2 linked regions of the Oreochromis niloticus genome follow. The main gene of each other region encodes a partner of the protein of the gene in region 2 in a complex. Links are inferred from orthologs where the notes say so. Each region holds a gene or a part of one and is shown on either strand. Other genes may lie near its edges. The genes, in order: lrwd1 and orc2.

The links.
Region 1: the proteins of orc2 (region 2) and lrwd1 are in contact, whole or in part, in a crystal structure (PDB 8SIU), measured with the Rattus norvegicus proteins. The link is inferred for Oreochromis niloticus from reciprocal best matches to the Homo sapiens genes ORC2 and LRWD1. Residues at the interface, in NP_001012003.1 of Rattus norvegicus: Val11, Pro12, Ser13, Val14, Gln15, Phe16, Val17, Gly18, Asp19, Val22, Leu23, Ser24, His25, Ile26, Leu27, Asp28; in XP_038945348.1 of Rattus norvegicus: Pro262, Leu263, His264, Phe265, Leu266, Gln267, Cys268, Ser270, Asn273, Ser274, Pro275, Leu320, Val321, Leu322, His323, Lys324, Tyr325, Lys326, Leu367, Val369, Gly372, Phe373, Cys374, Pro596, Pro598, Val599, Ala600, Val605, Ile630.

The regions. Positions count from the first base shown.
Region 1 is NC_031975.2:24,535,221-24,543,044, forward strand, and holds the start of lrwd1 (leucine-rich repeat and WD repeat-containing protein 1), read left to right. Parts: upstream 1-4,573; 5' UTR 4,574-4,655; intron 4,656-4,664; exon of another isoform or gene 4,665-5,518; intron 5,519-5,524; 5' UTR 5,525-5,531; coding exon 5,532-5,611; intron 5,612-6,092; coding exon 6,093-6,327; intron 6,328-7,318; coding exon 7,319-7,438; intron 7,439-7,647; coding exon 7,648-7,794; intron 7,795-7,824. Other genes in the region: alkbh4 (alpha-ketoglutarate-dependent dioxygenase alkB homolog 4), read right to left, coding at 1,268-1,789, 2,724-2,912, 3,208-3,324. UniProt on the Homo sapiens protein: Required for G1/S transition. Recruits and stabilizes the origin recognition complex (ORC) onto chromatin during G1 to establish pre-replication complex (preRC) and to heterochromatic sites in post-replicated cells.
Region 2 is NC_031982.2:7,478,770-7,486,195, reverse strand, and holds the start of orc2 (origin recognition complex subunit 2), read right to left. Parts: upstream 3,075-7,426; 5' UTR 2,916-3,074; intron 2,657-2,915; 5' UTR 2,655-2,656; coding exon 2,585-2,654; intron 2,493-2,584; coding exon 2,334-2,492; intron 1,721-2,333; coding exon 1,634-1,720; intron 1,514-1,633; coding exon 1,424-1,513; intron 1,333-1,423; coding exon 1,301-1,332; intron 1,209-1,300; coding exon 1,151-1,208; intron 1,047-1,150; coding exon 736-1,046; intron 646-735; coding exon 536-645; intron 453-535; coding exon 320-452; intron 231-319; coding exon 134-230; intron 60-133; coding exon 1-59. Other genes in the region: uncharacterized protein LOC100700781, read right to left, coding at 3,769-3,858, 3,949-4,054, 4,156-4,218, 4,367-4,493, 4,981-5,099, 5,522-5,702, 5,808-5,958, 6,296-6,425 and 1 more. UniProt on the Homo sapiens protein: Component of the origin recognition complex (ORC) that binds origins of replication. DNA-binding is ATP-dependent. The specific DNA sequences that define origins of replication have not been identified yet.

The sequences.
Region 1 (7,824 bases), on a different chromosome or scaffold from region 2:
GAAATACAGAAGACAATAATTCATTTGACCCTGGCTTTTTATTGAAAAGTTATCTCTTTTACAATATAATTTATTTTTTCCTTTAAATATCACAAAGTAAATCACTAAGCAGGAACGGCACTCCCAATCCTGCTACATCCTGAACACAGTAACAATAAAGGTTTTGTCTTCATGTTTGTAGTCCTTAATCAAATTCATATGTTGCCAGCTGGATGAACTGGAGACGTGACTCCATTGTGAATACAGACATCTGTGACCAGTGAAGCTAAATGTGTGGATAACAGCAGCAACCTCAAAAACACAATTAGAGAACTGAAAAATAAAAGCTTTGACACCATTGCACATTTCCTGTTTCTTTTGAATAGACAATGACTTCAAGAAAGATGACTTGAACACAAAAACTTTGTAAAGGCAGTTCGTTTTGAGCGTGCAGGCCACATCCTGTTTGTAGTTCTCACTCTGTGTCTGAGAACTCATCGGGAACTGGACAAACTGGGTTTCAGAAAAATGACTCGCAGCCACTGCTGATTCAACAAAGCCAGATATGTGCAGCTGCTGCACATGATTGTTTCAGGTGACAGATCTTTTGATTCACTTTTGCAATCAGATTTGATTTTGTTTTAAGTCATATTTTACTGTTAAATGTTTATCTTAACAATTATAATTGCAGTTCTGAAAGAGAAAAAAAAAGCCTCAATCCCAACACGTGTATAATTCTCTATTCAATTTATCATCAAAGATTTGTTCTTATCATCACAAAGTCAAAGATTAGGTTTGTGTCAGTCTCTCTGCACACACACACACACACACACACACACACACACAAACATATATTTATATTAGTGCTGTCAGCGTTAATCTCGTTAAAATGACGTTAACATCATAACCACATTAACGCGGCAAATCTCCATTAGCGAGTTACCACGGATCGCCCTGTGCGTGGAAAAATTGCTTTATTCTCTCCATTTGTCATAAAACAAAAAGAACACTGAGGGTGGGGGTGGAATAATATAATGACATTGGAGCTATTTTAACACAATTTCCCCCCAACATTTTTTCCAAAGCAATTCGACTTCAGCTTGGCTTCGCACCACAGCAGATGTTCAACTAATTAATGCACACAAGCCTCGTGAGCACTGCTCACTATTTGGGGAGCTGGCACAGATCCAGCAAACAAGCCCTAGGGTGTCCAAAGGACACATCTTTACAGTTTAAGACAAGTCCAAGTGATTTAGATTGCAGCTCCCTCTGGATCCATCAAATTAGATTAAACTGGAGAGCCTTGGAAGTTCAAGGCGATATTCAACAGCTGGGCTCCGAGGTCTGCCTGCTGCCCTCCAGGCAGGAACTCTGCAGATAGCTCTCTGTAGGTGCTGCAGACTCTACGTACATGAATGTCCTTCCTGTGAATGGCGTGTTTCCATTTATGCCGTGCCTCGCCGTATAAAACTACTAAACATCTGCGAGGAAGGTTCACAGCTACATGGACCTCCCCTGTTAGTCCCAGCTCTGGCAGACCCTGCTCCAGAGACATGGTGAGTGTAGTGTCTGACAACATGTTAATGGTGACTAAGCGCTCCCCCCACAGCCAAGAATCGTCTAAGTGTGGATCGATGGCTGCACCTCGCTCAGGATGATAATCCAGGTTGCACTGCTCCACTGGCTGGAAGCCGGCTAGAGCTGATTCCTGATACATCCGAAGCACAAGTTTATGGCTCAAAGCAGGGAGTCCACTGAAGCCACCCACACGCACTTTCCTTTTCTTGAAGTTCACCTTCGGGCCAAAGTCCTGCAACAATATTGGAGGAGGCTTTTGGTCACTCCATTACTACGGTATATATACTTTCCATACTATATATATCAAATAGAATTGACGACAATGTTATCTATATAGCACATTTTATTATGGGTACACTTAGTATGCTTACCATAAAAGATAAAAAAAGCTATGTAGCTCTACAACATTTAAAGGCAATATAAAACAGTAGTAATTCATCTCATGTCCCACCCACAAAATAAGAGTGTTACAGTAATCTAACCTGCTTGATCTGAAAGCATGGCCCAATTTCAGAGTCAGTTTGAGATAAGAATTTTCTAACCTTTGATATATATTTTGAGTAGCAGAAAGCAATTCTGTCTATTTTATTAATATGATTATCAAAACTGAGACCACAGTCCAAAATGATCCCAAGGTGCCTGACTTGTTCATCGTTTTTCACAGAAAGGGATAATAAATATGAACAAATTTTCTCTGTCTCTGACTTTTTGGATTTTCTATCTTGTCTCTATTCATTTCTAGAAAGATTCTAGACATCCACAAGTTAATGTCATCAACGCAGCTTAATAATTTGTGAACAGGTTAGATCAGTTAAGTGATAAGGTTAAAAAGTAACCAATGACAGAATGTTTATTTCTGCAGTTCTAAAAATATTAACTGACACATAGAAACATTTACCCTTTAGTCATGATGAAACCCAATCGAGAAACTAACGAGTTAAACCAACTGAATCACGAAGCCTTTGAATTAAAATATCACGATCAACAATCAACAGTGTTGAAGGCAGCATGGAGAGGTACGACTCAAACTCTCTGTGAATCAATGTTGATGACCTGAGTAAACTCGGACTGACACTTATATTGACTTTACAGCCCTAATAATCGCTTCTATTCATCATAGTCTAAACAAAAATGTTTTGTTTGTTTTTATTTGATCACATGCTAACCTGTTTTCTTCGACCGGACTGCGACTCCTTCCACACATCCTGGTCCATCGCACATATAAGCTCCTTCTCTTCCTCTTCTGATATGAAGTTCTCCCACAGGAAGACCCCAGAAAAGGGGAAGGATGCAGCCTGGGCATCTTTTCCAACAGCGAGCCTCGACTGAGGATCGTAGAGGAAATGATGGACAATCTTCACAGAAAGACAGATAAACAGAAAAACATCGTTATTTATACAGTGACGCAAATGTATTCCTAGAATTATAATTTTTGGCGATGAAATTGACAGTTTGTAGTGAATGCCTTTTTGTTATAAAGACAAACGCTGTTGGCACACATTTATAACCGCAGTAATATCCCTTTAATAAGGATGGAATGTCCTCCGAGGGCACCCGTACCTTGTTGTGTGCGCTGCTGTTAGCAGTATTTGATTATTTTTTTTACTTGTTATAAAAACAATATAACAGTTTTCTGTTGGAAAACAGTACCTTTGATTCACTCGCCTCCGGCTGTACTTTCTCTTTCAACCCTTCGCAGACGAGACACCGGCGGACACCTTTACAAGCGCATGAAGGCACGTCGTCACTGGTGTCGGGAGCCATCATCCTGCATCTTCTTCTTGTGTCAGGAAGTGGCAGCAAACGAAAACATTTAACTATCGCCAGCTAGCGGAGAATGCGGGCATTTTCAGGGTTAGCAGAGCTAAAGGAGGAAGCAAATAAGAAAACTGATATCTGAATATAAAAAATACAAATGTATATATATTAATAATAATTTTAAAAAACATAGTAGTGGAAGTAGTGTTTGTATCATAACTAGTTATGGTTCACAACCAAAACCATTAACATAACTACATTACTAGTTAATGTTCACTAGTAACATTCACGACTGACTGCCTTAAAAAAGTTGGGGGCAACTCCAAAAGCCTCTTATAGCCTTTGTTTTCTTAGAACAGATAATGATGCAATAAATCATTTTAAAGTGTTTTTGTGGATATTTTGTTGACTCCGTTTACATATGGGAGATTTTCATATACTTCAGTGCCACCCTGCCTAGACCTCTTGCCCCTCCTTGCCGTTCTGTTAAAGTCTTCATTGTTCATTGCTCTAAACTGGGAGTGCCAGAATGAATGCATTTCAGGGGCTACAGACCGCAAAATCTACTCTTCAGTTCTAGACCCTTTCTTTTGAACCATATCCTGAAAATGTTCTGCATGGTGATTAACGGCACAACTTCAACTGAATCATTCAAAAATTACACGAATATTGCCTTTTTTGTTTTGGAACATTGGAACTATACAAAAGCAGAAAATATTCAGATGATGGCTTTTTGGAATGAAATGCCAATAGTATTTCACTTCTTTGTGATCCAAAGAACTTAAAATAATGTAATTTTAAATCAATGTCAATTTAATTCATACAGCACTTTTAATTACACGTAAACTCAATGTGCTTAACGTAAATGAAAAAAGTAATAATAATAAAAACTAAGTTATTGTACCTCTCCAAAAGTTGAATCTGTTCATCTGGACGTAGCATTTTGTGGGAGAAACGTTTTGTCACTCATCCAAGTGACTTCTTCAGTCTCAGCTGACTGCAGGTTTCCCCAAACCTTACAAACAGTACATTTGCATAATGACTGAAACCAGCCCACTGAAGGAACAATGGGCTGTGAGGTCAGTTCCTTAATCATAATTATGCAAATTCCCATGACCATTGATCAACAATCACTGACCAAAACCCACTGATCAAGGAACACTGATCAATGGCCATGAGTAAGTTATTGTACAATTGCCATAGGTTGTTAATCCCTGGCAAGCAAAACCCAGGCTGTAAAAAACAATGTCTTGTTTAAACCACGCCCACCGGATATACGTAACGTTTCCCCGGGAAAGCTCGGTTTCAGCAAGAGTGTTTTGAGTTCGCTCAAGTGTTTGGTAAGTGATATTAATCACATATATTGACAAGTTTTAAGCTGTTTAATAACAAAAGCAAAACCACTAACGCTTGCTCTAATTAAATCAATAATTGTTATTTGTGTTTGTAGCCGAGAAATGTAAATATATAGAGATATATACGGCTGTCGGCACTGCCAACGTGGTTAGCTAGGAGAAACTCAAACTTATTATCATATAACGCTTTCTCATCTTCTTTACGTGAAATATCCTTCCTCACCTTAGTATGGATCTCTATATAGACGTTATGACAACGTTACTTAAAGGATAGAGCGTTATGAAATCGCATTTAGCCTGTTATTGTTGAATAGCCGCTTATTTATCGTAAACTGTTTTTGGAGGAAATTTTCCATTTCTTTAACAGATTAATCATGCTGAGGAGCAAGAGGGGATTTTAATTGCTAAATGCCAAAAATGCCAAAAAAGAGTAATTAGACCAGCTAAAACAAGTGGAACAAGCTCAGTTGTAAACAGTATCTGTGTAATAATATTAAACACAAATCTACTTGTTTAAGTCTTTGTGTGTACTACAGCGTTTCTCATCCACAGGAATTTTCATTGTTCTTGAAGCTGATCAGTGGTGCTGATTACTAATCAGGCCTTCTAAAGCAGTTACAGACCATGTTTGTAATTCATGTTTTCTTATCCTATTGTTTGTATCTAATCATATTCTTAAAGAGCTTTTACGGAGTTTCAGTCCTTGATGTAGTCAGTTTGTTTTGGCCATGTGGGCGGTGCTCTGGTTGCGTGATTAGAACAGGATTGACAATATAAATAAACTAGGAGGACACTTATCTCAGCCCTATCTTCAGTTTGCCATCTTCACTCCTGAATTGTGCTTCTTCCTGCAGATAAGCAATGGAAAAAATCACTGAGAAAGTTTTACTGGAGAAAGCCTCTCCAAAAGCCAACAAACTGGAGCAAATCATGACTTTGAAGTAAGGACTTTGTTTCTCCTTATCATGCTCTGTAGGTGTCTTGCTGTTAAAGTTGCACTGAAGTAAACTGGTAATGCTTAGTTACAGTTGTGGTAACAAGTTTACATCCACTCATCATGGGCATGCTTGTCATGGTATTTTTATGATGATTCTTGTTTTTTTTAAAGTAATTAAAATGTATCCATTCGTTCCACCCTGGAAATTATGAAGCCCTAAATGACCATGACATTTATGCCAATGCTGAGTGCATATAAACAATAAGGCCCTAATATTCAAAGACATTTTGCAGTTGGCTATTTAAAAACTGGAATAAAACATTGAATTAATGGAAATATTTTGATACTTTTGTGATATTTGTGTGTATGCAATAATATTTAAACAAATGATTATAGATGTAATACTATAATCACTAAACGGCTTCATATGTAATTTTATTTCATACCCCATGGAAACACTAACTTTGGTGCTCTTTGTGTTTCAGTCTGTCTAAGATGAGGTTGAAGCTTCAGGATCTACCTGTCAAGCTGCTGTCCCGTCTCCAGTCTCTGGAGAAGTTAGATCTTTCTGGAAACATGCTGCAGGAGTTTCCCAAGAACCTGGAGCTGCCTGCACTTCGCTTCCTGGACCTGAGTGACAACCAGATCGAGGATGTTACCACTCTGGACTCCCTAAGCAACGTAGAAGAGCTGAGGATGGATGGCAACCTCTACATCACTGTGAGCACATAGCTTTGTTTTCTCCTTACACTCCTGTTTTAGGGTTACTCTTTGCAGCTACAGCACAAATGGCAAATACATGAACAGGTTATAACTGACACTTGTCATCAGTATTTCATAAAATCACATACTTCTACACCTACTGCTGTCTGGCTTGGCTCATGGAGAAATATTTGAGTCAGGCTACATTGCTGAATGATCATACCAGCTGATTATTAGTGTTAGCATTGCAAGGGAGCACGTTGCATCAGTTGTCATGACAATAAAATATTCCTGTGTTTGACTCCTCAGCCAGCTCAGGCCTTTGTCTGCTGAGTTTGTGTATTCTGTCTGCATCACCTGCAATACAAACACATGCTGATGATGTGAAATGAAGTCCTGTAGGTGTGAATGGCTCTCTTTTGTGTCAACTCTAAGATAGACTGTGTTCCAACCTTTCTCCCCCACTGTGAAAGAGACACAGTTTCAGCCCCCACTATCCTGCAGACCATAAATGGAAATAAGGAAATCCTTGCTACTCTGTAGGATCTGGTTGTTTTTCTAGGTGATGCATTTGATAAAGCAAAACACATCCCTGCATTCCTATTATCCCAGTACCCCAATGAAAACTGTATTATTAGCAGAGAAATTCTTTTAAAAATGGTTTCCGCTCATTTTCATCCTTTGCTTCTGATTGGCTGCCACTCATAAACAAGATCGAATAGCCGGTAGGTTCAGTCTGAGCTCACAAAAGTGTACACAACAAATATATAAGATCTTTGTCAGCTCAGTAATCAGAATGAGTAATTATATAATAATTCTGAACTATAAACTTGTTTCCTTTTTTGCTGTGATCTCCAGTGTCCTCCACATTTGCACAGTCACATCAAATGTACAGTACGTTTGAAAGGAAAGCGTTCACAGAAAGACTGCACACAGTCATTTTTTAGGTCCCTTCATCATAAAATGCCGCCACACTGACTTAATTGTTAACGTTTCTTTTGGTTATCAGGTGAGTGACACTTACAAGCTGATGGTGTTGCTGCCCAATCTGAGGATTTACAGCGGTAAAGATGTCAGTACTTCTGCCAACCACTTGCGTTATGTCTACAGTGATAATCTGAGGACCAGGGTATGGAACTAATGGCTTATTTTGCTCTACTTCATGGTATTGGTGTTAATGTTCCTGCATTTGATACTGTACAAAGTCATAACATGCACCAAAAAATGATGTTTAGCAGCTGTTGTTTTGAACAAAGATATTTTTGGCACAGATGTGGCAATACGTCGTTTCATCACACAGGCTGTAATCGCTGTCCTAACTATTGCTGTTTATTTTAGATTGCTGCTCTTTGGGAGAATAGCTTCTGCCTCCCCGATCCCATCACAGCAGAGAAAATGGATGCCTTGGAGAGCAAGTTTGTCAGCACTGCCCGTCATCAAGTTAAATTTGGGCCCAATTCAGTCAGTGACTTCACCAGGTGGAGGGTAAGTTTAGAGTGCTTTAGCACTTGTTTT
Region 2 (7,426 bases):
TCCTCGCAGCATGGGTCCGTCTATATTATGGATGAGCAGGTACACGTGCAGATCTGGGCCTGTGAGGACATCGGTGTAAAACATGCGGTACAACCACACATGCTTGGGATGCACAGGGGTTTGATGGGCTTACTATCTTTTAAGGTGTGGGAGATAAACTGGATCTGGTCCGAGGGGGTTCGGAAAGTTCCCTGGTGATCCAGAACCTCACACGTCAGAGCATTTAATATCTGTGAGAATTTAATTTTCATGATCAGGGATATTTATTTTATTATGCAATTTATGCAAAATATTTTCATGTGTGTGTGTGTATACTGACTGATTTAAGAGTAATGGAAGGGAAAAATCCATTAACCACAAGATGAATTTCTTGCGACAGATGACACTCCCTGAAGTCTTCCAGCAGAGCTTTTTTGCTTCCCAGACCGTAGACCAGCACGCTGAATCCCAGCCTACACACAGACAGGCACAGACACTTTTTACTGCTCTTAAAACACCAGAAAAATGCATACAACTACGTTGCAACCTCACTTACTGTAACTGTAACATCCATTTGCTAAAGTGGATTCTGTGTTTGTCGTGCAGCTGCTGGATCTCTTTTGAGTAGCAGGATTGTTTCCCCTCCAGAAGTCGGACCAACATTTCCTGCAAAAACAAAAATAAAGATAAATTCACACTAAATCTATTAGGAAAGCAGCTCATTTACAATGTTTCAAAATGCCGTTAAAAACAAACCCTGTCAAGTTTAGGGGTGTTCAAACGCTCCAGAGTTCGGTCTGATGTCAACACTTTCGAGCTGCCGTGAGCTTCGAAGTACTCCTCAACCATACTGGGCTGGTTCTGAGGTTCGGGCGTGCTCTTGCTCTTCTTGGCAGGAGTCTTGTAGAGAGCCGCTGATAAACCTTTACTGGGAGTTCTCGGTGTGGTCACGTTCTCTTTATCCTCTTTCTTTCCTTTCTGCTCTTCCTCCAGCCCATCTTCATCCTCCTCCTCACCCGAGTCAGAGGGTGAAAGCTCACTGTCGCTGTCTGACCGCAAGCTCGGAGCTAAAAACAAACAAACAAACAAACAAACAAAAACAAAACATTTAGATTAGAGGAAAGGTGAAATTTCACTTAGAATGAATTGAATTATTCCCAGTTAGACTCACTTGCTATTCTCTTCCTGAGCCTGTGTGGTGTTGTAGAGACAAACTGGACCTTTTTGCTCTGCCGTTAAATAAAAATAAAATAAAATTCTTAAGTTGGCACCAGAGGTCGCTGGCTTTGGACTTTAAGTTTAAAGGTTTCTATGGTCTCACCTTCTGTGGTGTTCTGCTTTCACCTCTAGGGTCTGAAATAGAAGAAAAGAAAATATTTAACTGTGTGAAAATGAGCAAAAAGATGAGTATACGGAAAAGATTATGAAAGTTCATTGTACTCACTCCACCCCGTTCGACTGGGGGTTGAGGGTTCAAAGTTTGGGGTCGTGCTGAAGCTCACGCTTTTTCCAGGAGTCCGAGCCAGCTCACTTGCTGTTTATGGAAAGTGTGCAACACAAAATGAGCATATATGGTATCTAAAGAAAGAACTGGAAGGAGATGTATAATGTGCGAATTTTCCGATCTATGTGAGAAGAGAATGGAGGCTCTCACCAGTTTGGGCCATGCTGTGGCTGCGTTTAACTTTCTGAAAGGTAAAGATGGAGGATCCAGCCACTCTTGACAAGCCATCTTCATCTTCTGTAAATCCAAGAGAAAACTGGTCATTTTAAAATGAATTTAAAAAAAGAAAGAAAAAAAAAGCCTCATATATTTTTCATGCATTTATACAAAGCTAAAATTTCACAGCATTATGAATGTTCAAAATTCCCACCAAAAATTTTAAAAAGATTTTTAAACTCATGTAATCAAACAACCTATATGCCAGTACTGATAAGCATATAATATGTTAATATCAGCAATATAGTCCATCTGACAAACACACTTAATGTGTGCAATGGAGTGAAACTGAGGTGTACAGAAAGTCTCCTGCCATAATCATAAGTACCTCTGTGACATGAATATTTTTACAAGGATTTTGTAGGGGATTTGAGCTAACTATATGCAAATCTCTGTCATTGATTTGAATTTCAGCTGGTAAACCAGCACTTGCGAAATTCCACATTTGTACTTTGCCTGACTGTGTAGAGTTAGAAAATCAGCCAACGTCTGTCTGCATTTTTCCAAACGTATTTGGGTAAATCTACAAAGAGCAGTAAACCTGAGTCAGCAGTATCGTCAGCTGATCACGGTCTGTCTGCAAAGAAAACAAACCTCCCGGTGAAGAAAGTCATTACCCCTGCTCAGCACTCACCTTCTGCATTATCTGTTCCTAAAGCTTGGACATAATCCTGCTCATCGTGGACTCCATTTTCATCTCCATCATGTTCCGCATCCTCTCCGCATCCCCGTCGTCCAGCCGGGCTCTTAAACTTTACCATCTTCTGAACGGACCCGGCGATGCTCTGCGCAACTTATGGAGGTACGCACAGTACAGACAGCAGAGTCAGAGAGACACAGAAGTGCTCGTAAACTAACATTTCTACAGTAGCAGAGCATCCATACCCTCCTGCTTGTCCACGATGTGCTCCAGGACATCGCAATCCCCGATGAACTTCACCTCCAGCACACTCATGACTAAAGATAACAACGACAAACAGCGCGACTTTAGTTAGTTGCTTGTAACACTACAAAATATGCTTTGCTTTTCAGAGGTGTAGTTCCTAACGCAGGTTTTCATTCAGTCCGTTTCTATTCACGAACACTGTGGGGGCGGCCATTCTTCTCAAACAGCGAGAAACAGCCCTGCTTCAATCAGCGGCCACACGCCGAAAGTCCAAATAAAAGTGGGAAATAAAAACAGAAACAAAAATGCGTCTAAAACGACACAACTTACTGTACAGCGTCAGTACCGCCACACAAAAATGTAAACACAACTTTCACACAGTGACAGCAAGGCAGTGTGCTGCTGGGACAAGTTTCCGCGCCATCCTGCTGAAGTTTTTAAACCATGTGACAAGTGAAAGGTCATTCAGTGGCCAACTGGAACGCTGCTTCCAGCTAAAACCACATTTCCCAAGATGCACTTCGAACAACAGCTCAGTCTGTGCGGCTAGAACCCTACAGGGGAAGGGTTTTTGCCGACTGATTAATTATTATATTTTCAATAAGTAATGTAGGTTACTATTAATGCGAATGATGTATTTTCTGTAATATTAAAAAAAAATAACATTTATCACCAAGATATTTTTTACGTGTCCGTTCAAACGCTGGCAATTATCTATTCATAGATTACAGAAAAATAGAAGACTAAAGGGGACCAAGAAACTTTTTATTTTGTTAGAAAAAATAAATCACAAAAGTTTGCAGTTGTATATAAAAGGTCATTCATTAGCATTTATTAGCACTGGTATTAATAGCTGATAGCACAAAACATCTTTCTTTTTATGAAGTCATCACTAGCTAGGTCTTCTTGTAGGCCGTGAAAAAGTGACAAAACAAGTGCAGAACACAATTAATTTTAAAGAGATTTAAATTAGTGAAACAGGGTTTCTGTTACAATATGAAACTTCTGAAGCCCACAGTAAGAATATTTTCATTAATTGTATGTTTTACCATCAAGATGACACATCTCACTAACAAAGAAGGAATCGCTGTATGTGTTTCTAATGTGTAAATAATTTGGAATGAGTCTCTATATAGCTCATCTGTCCCAAAGAGACAAGAAGGGGGAAACATCGTCCAGCTCTTCACCACCCGCGAGTGGGCGTCCACTTCCCTACCAGACGACCCTCAGAGTGTACATGGTACACAGGATGCATCACTGCTGTTGCACATGACTGCAGAAAAAAGGCATTGTCTGACAACAGGAAAATGTACAATAAAACTGATGTGTCAATAAGATGTGCTATAAATCATTCAGTACTAACGTGGTAGGGAATCAGTGTGAGCAGAGAGCCCAGGGGGTATTTGCTGTAGTCCAGTTGTCCTGAGATGGGCTCCACTCGTCCATGCTCCTGGGTCATAGACAACAACCTGGAGGGAAACGCCAGTCACGTTTAACATTGGTACTGAGAGTTATAGAGAAAAAAGATACTAAAATAGACTGAGATTTCTTTTTTTTTTTGAAGCATTACTTGAGGTTTGGATGCCCCTCGATCACAGCATATCCAGTGGGAAGTTTCCCAGCTCCGTCCAAACTGAGAGACACAAGCAAGAGTAGGTAAAAGGTTAAGTTACATGGTTGTTCCAAAACAGAGCTTACACTGATGATAGCAGTGATGAGTAAAACAAAAAACAGAACATAGGGGATAGGTATTAGCTCCCACTGAATGAAGTTGAACCCACCTGATTCCAGCCCATCCACAGTCAATCAGGAGCTGGTTCCTGTGTGGACAGTGACCGATGACTCTTGTGAGAACCCTCACAGCCACGTCCTCCAGACAGCATGAGCCAATCGTAGACTGCTGCACATCTGCATCCCACAAACATACATTTAAAAGAAATTGTTATTTAAAGGCCCTTTTGAAAAATATATTTTAAGTGTGACATGTGACATGTCTCCCGACTATTCCTCAGCTCAAAATACCAATAAGGTCATTTATCCTGCCATACCTATAGACTGTTTAATAAACCTCTGCTCCAAACAGGCTGTTTCAGCGCCTGTAGCTTTAAATGTTGTCGGGTCCCGAAGTGAACTAGAAACATGTCGGGGCAAGTAGACAAAACTAAGAGGCAGCAATATCATGACCTTAAGAGCACAGTACGGTCAGGGACTGTTTTTATAGGGCAAAGGGCTCTTTCGATTCTATGTTTCCCATCTGATGTGAAATCAAAGGGCATGGTCTGTGTCATGTTTACTGGGTCACGCTGGGAATATTGAATATACACAACAAATAACGAAAAAGTGGATTTTACACGTCACACTTAAACTAGGAAACAGTGGGTCTACGTGTACACACCATAGAAGACGTAGTTTCCTGGGTGGACCTCGCTAAGCTGCGCCATGTCTTTGACTGGATGGCTACAGGTAGGGGTGGAGCCAATGCTGGACTTACAGGTGATGCCAACAGCCTTCAGTCTGACACAAAAAATCCCAAAACAAACAAACAAAAAACCAGTTGAAAGACAAAGTTAATGCAGAATTATTCTTCCAGGTGGCTCTAAAAGAGTCAATCACACCCACAAGAAAATGCTCAAATTTAGAGGAGAAATAAACATGTTTACAGCCTGGTGCAAAAGATGGGATACATCATTTTTAGATATGATGTATGATTTATTTGTTGCTTCTGGAAACAAAGCTGTGTGACTCAATACAAGAAACCTGTGGGCTGTGAAACTAAAACAAAGATGTTAAAATAGGTCATAAAAACTAATTTTTCAAGAGTATGAGCAACAGCTTTTATGTCGTGTGTGTTCTTAAATAGCCAGTGAAATAAAATGATTGATTAGAGCAGCTTTAATGAGTCAGTGTACATGTATTTTTTTAAACTTTCAGCTTACTTTTCCATGAACTGCAGAGTCAGTTTGGTGGTTTCCTGGGCAACAGCCTGTATTTGCTCAACTCCTGTGCAGTAATAGGTATTCCCACAGTGGGCGTACACTCCTGTAAGTTCCACGCCCTCCGTCTTAGCGATGGCTTCAGCCAGTTTGAGCGCTCCTGGCTCCGAGTGCAGGACGCCAGCTATGACAAAGAGCCGACGCATGATCAAACCTCGTGTTAACAGAGAGGTGAAGTGTAGCTCAGGCACTTATGATTAGATCTATTGCGGTTTCCCTGCACGTTTACCTCTCCCATTGCCACAGTCGAGTTTGAGCCAGACGTGCCACTGCCGACCATCTTTCAGGGGTCTTTTTCGGAGCTGCTCCAAAGCATCAGGATGGTCCAATAAAATCTGGAAGAGATCCAGTCTCTCTGACAGGGCTGCACAACGCTCTACCTAAAGACACACAGAGACATACATTAGAAATGGCACAGAGAGCACAGCTGGGACATTAAAAACTAACAAATATAAAACAGATGAGAAATTATGTCAAAGTAATGGCATAGAACTGGAGCTATTTTACATGCAAGTGCTATGGCGATATACATGTATCATATATTTACATATATGTATTGTTTCTAGTGATAATATTACTAAATATGATTCATAGTTGATACATTTTCAGCAGGCTCAGTTATTAATAATATATTTTTTCCATTTCTAATTTTTTACAGCTTTTATGATTTCACAGAATATAAAACAAGGACACATTTAAAGTGTGAGCTGAGAGAACCTTATCAAAGGGAACAGAGTAGGCATAGAGGATGTCATCATATCCATGGTCAGCATAGAAACAGGCCTCTGCCAGGGTGGAAACCACTATGCACCTCTGTGATCCACCCGTCATAATGTCAGCACACTCACTGGACACACACAGAGACCTCATCAGAATCCTGTATACACAGCAAGTCTGTAAGCATGTGCTGTGTGCGTGTCTATGCGTGAGCATATGAATCCATACAGGGTTTTGTGGGTCTTCATGTGTGGACGAAGCTGGACTCCCAGTTTCTGGCAGCGCTCGATCATCCTCTGGGCATTCCTCTTCGCTTTATCCACATCCACCACAAAAGCAGGAGTAAACAGGGCTGAGAGAGGATCTCCCTCCATACTGGCAGCACTGGAGTACACACACACACACACAGAGCACTTCAGATATTTCCCATGCAATTAAATTCTATTGCATGATTGGCTCAACCAGCATATTTCTATAGTTATATTTATAAGTATCTGCTATACATGCACGAATCAGCAAGTAAACTTCATTACACTTGGGTGTGGTTTTGCAACGTCTCTGATTATGTAATGCAGCGCACTTTGAACTTTGACAACACTAACTTAAACTTAAACACTAACTTTACAAATGGACTGCAACTCATTAAGCAGTATTTTATTCCTCCTCTTTTTGTTACTATAAAGACCTTCCGATAATATTATCGTGCGTCATAATGATAGATAGAATAAAATCAGACTGCATTCGAATCTGCATAATAGCGTTTGTGAAACAGTGAGGGTAAACACTAGCACAATAACAAGCATCGGAAACAACAACAATAACAACAAAAAATGCAGACAAATGCAGCACAAACCACAGTTTACCTTTTCAAAACAGTGAATCGGAAGTTCCGATCACATTACTACGGTGTCCTCGAGGAGTCAAAAATAATGAAAAAAGTACAACCAGGGAGAACCTTTAGCGAATCATAAAATAAATCATAGAAAAAAAATCTAATATACCCGGTAGTTAAAGTCGCAGTAGCACAGGAACAGAGCGGGAGGGAAAGAGAGAGATAGCGAGCCAGGGACAACAACAAGAGACAACATCGTCACGTTAGAAAGGTATAGTAATCATCCACAACTATTTTCA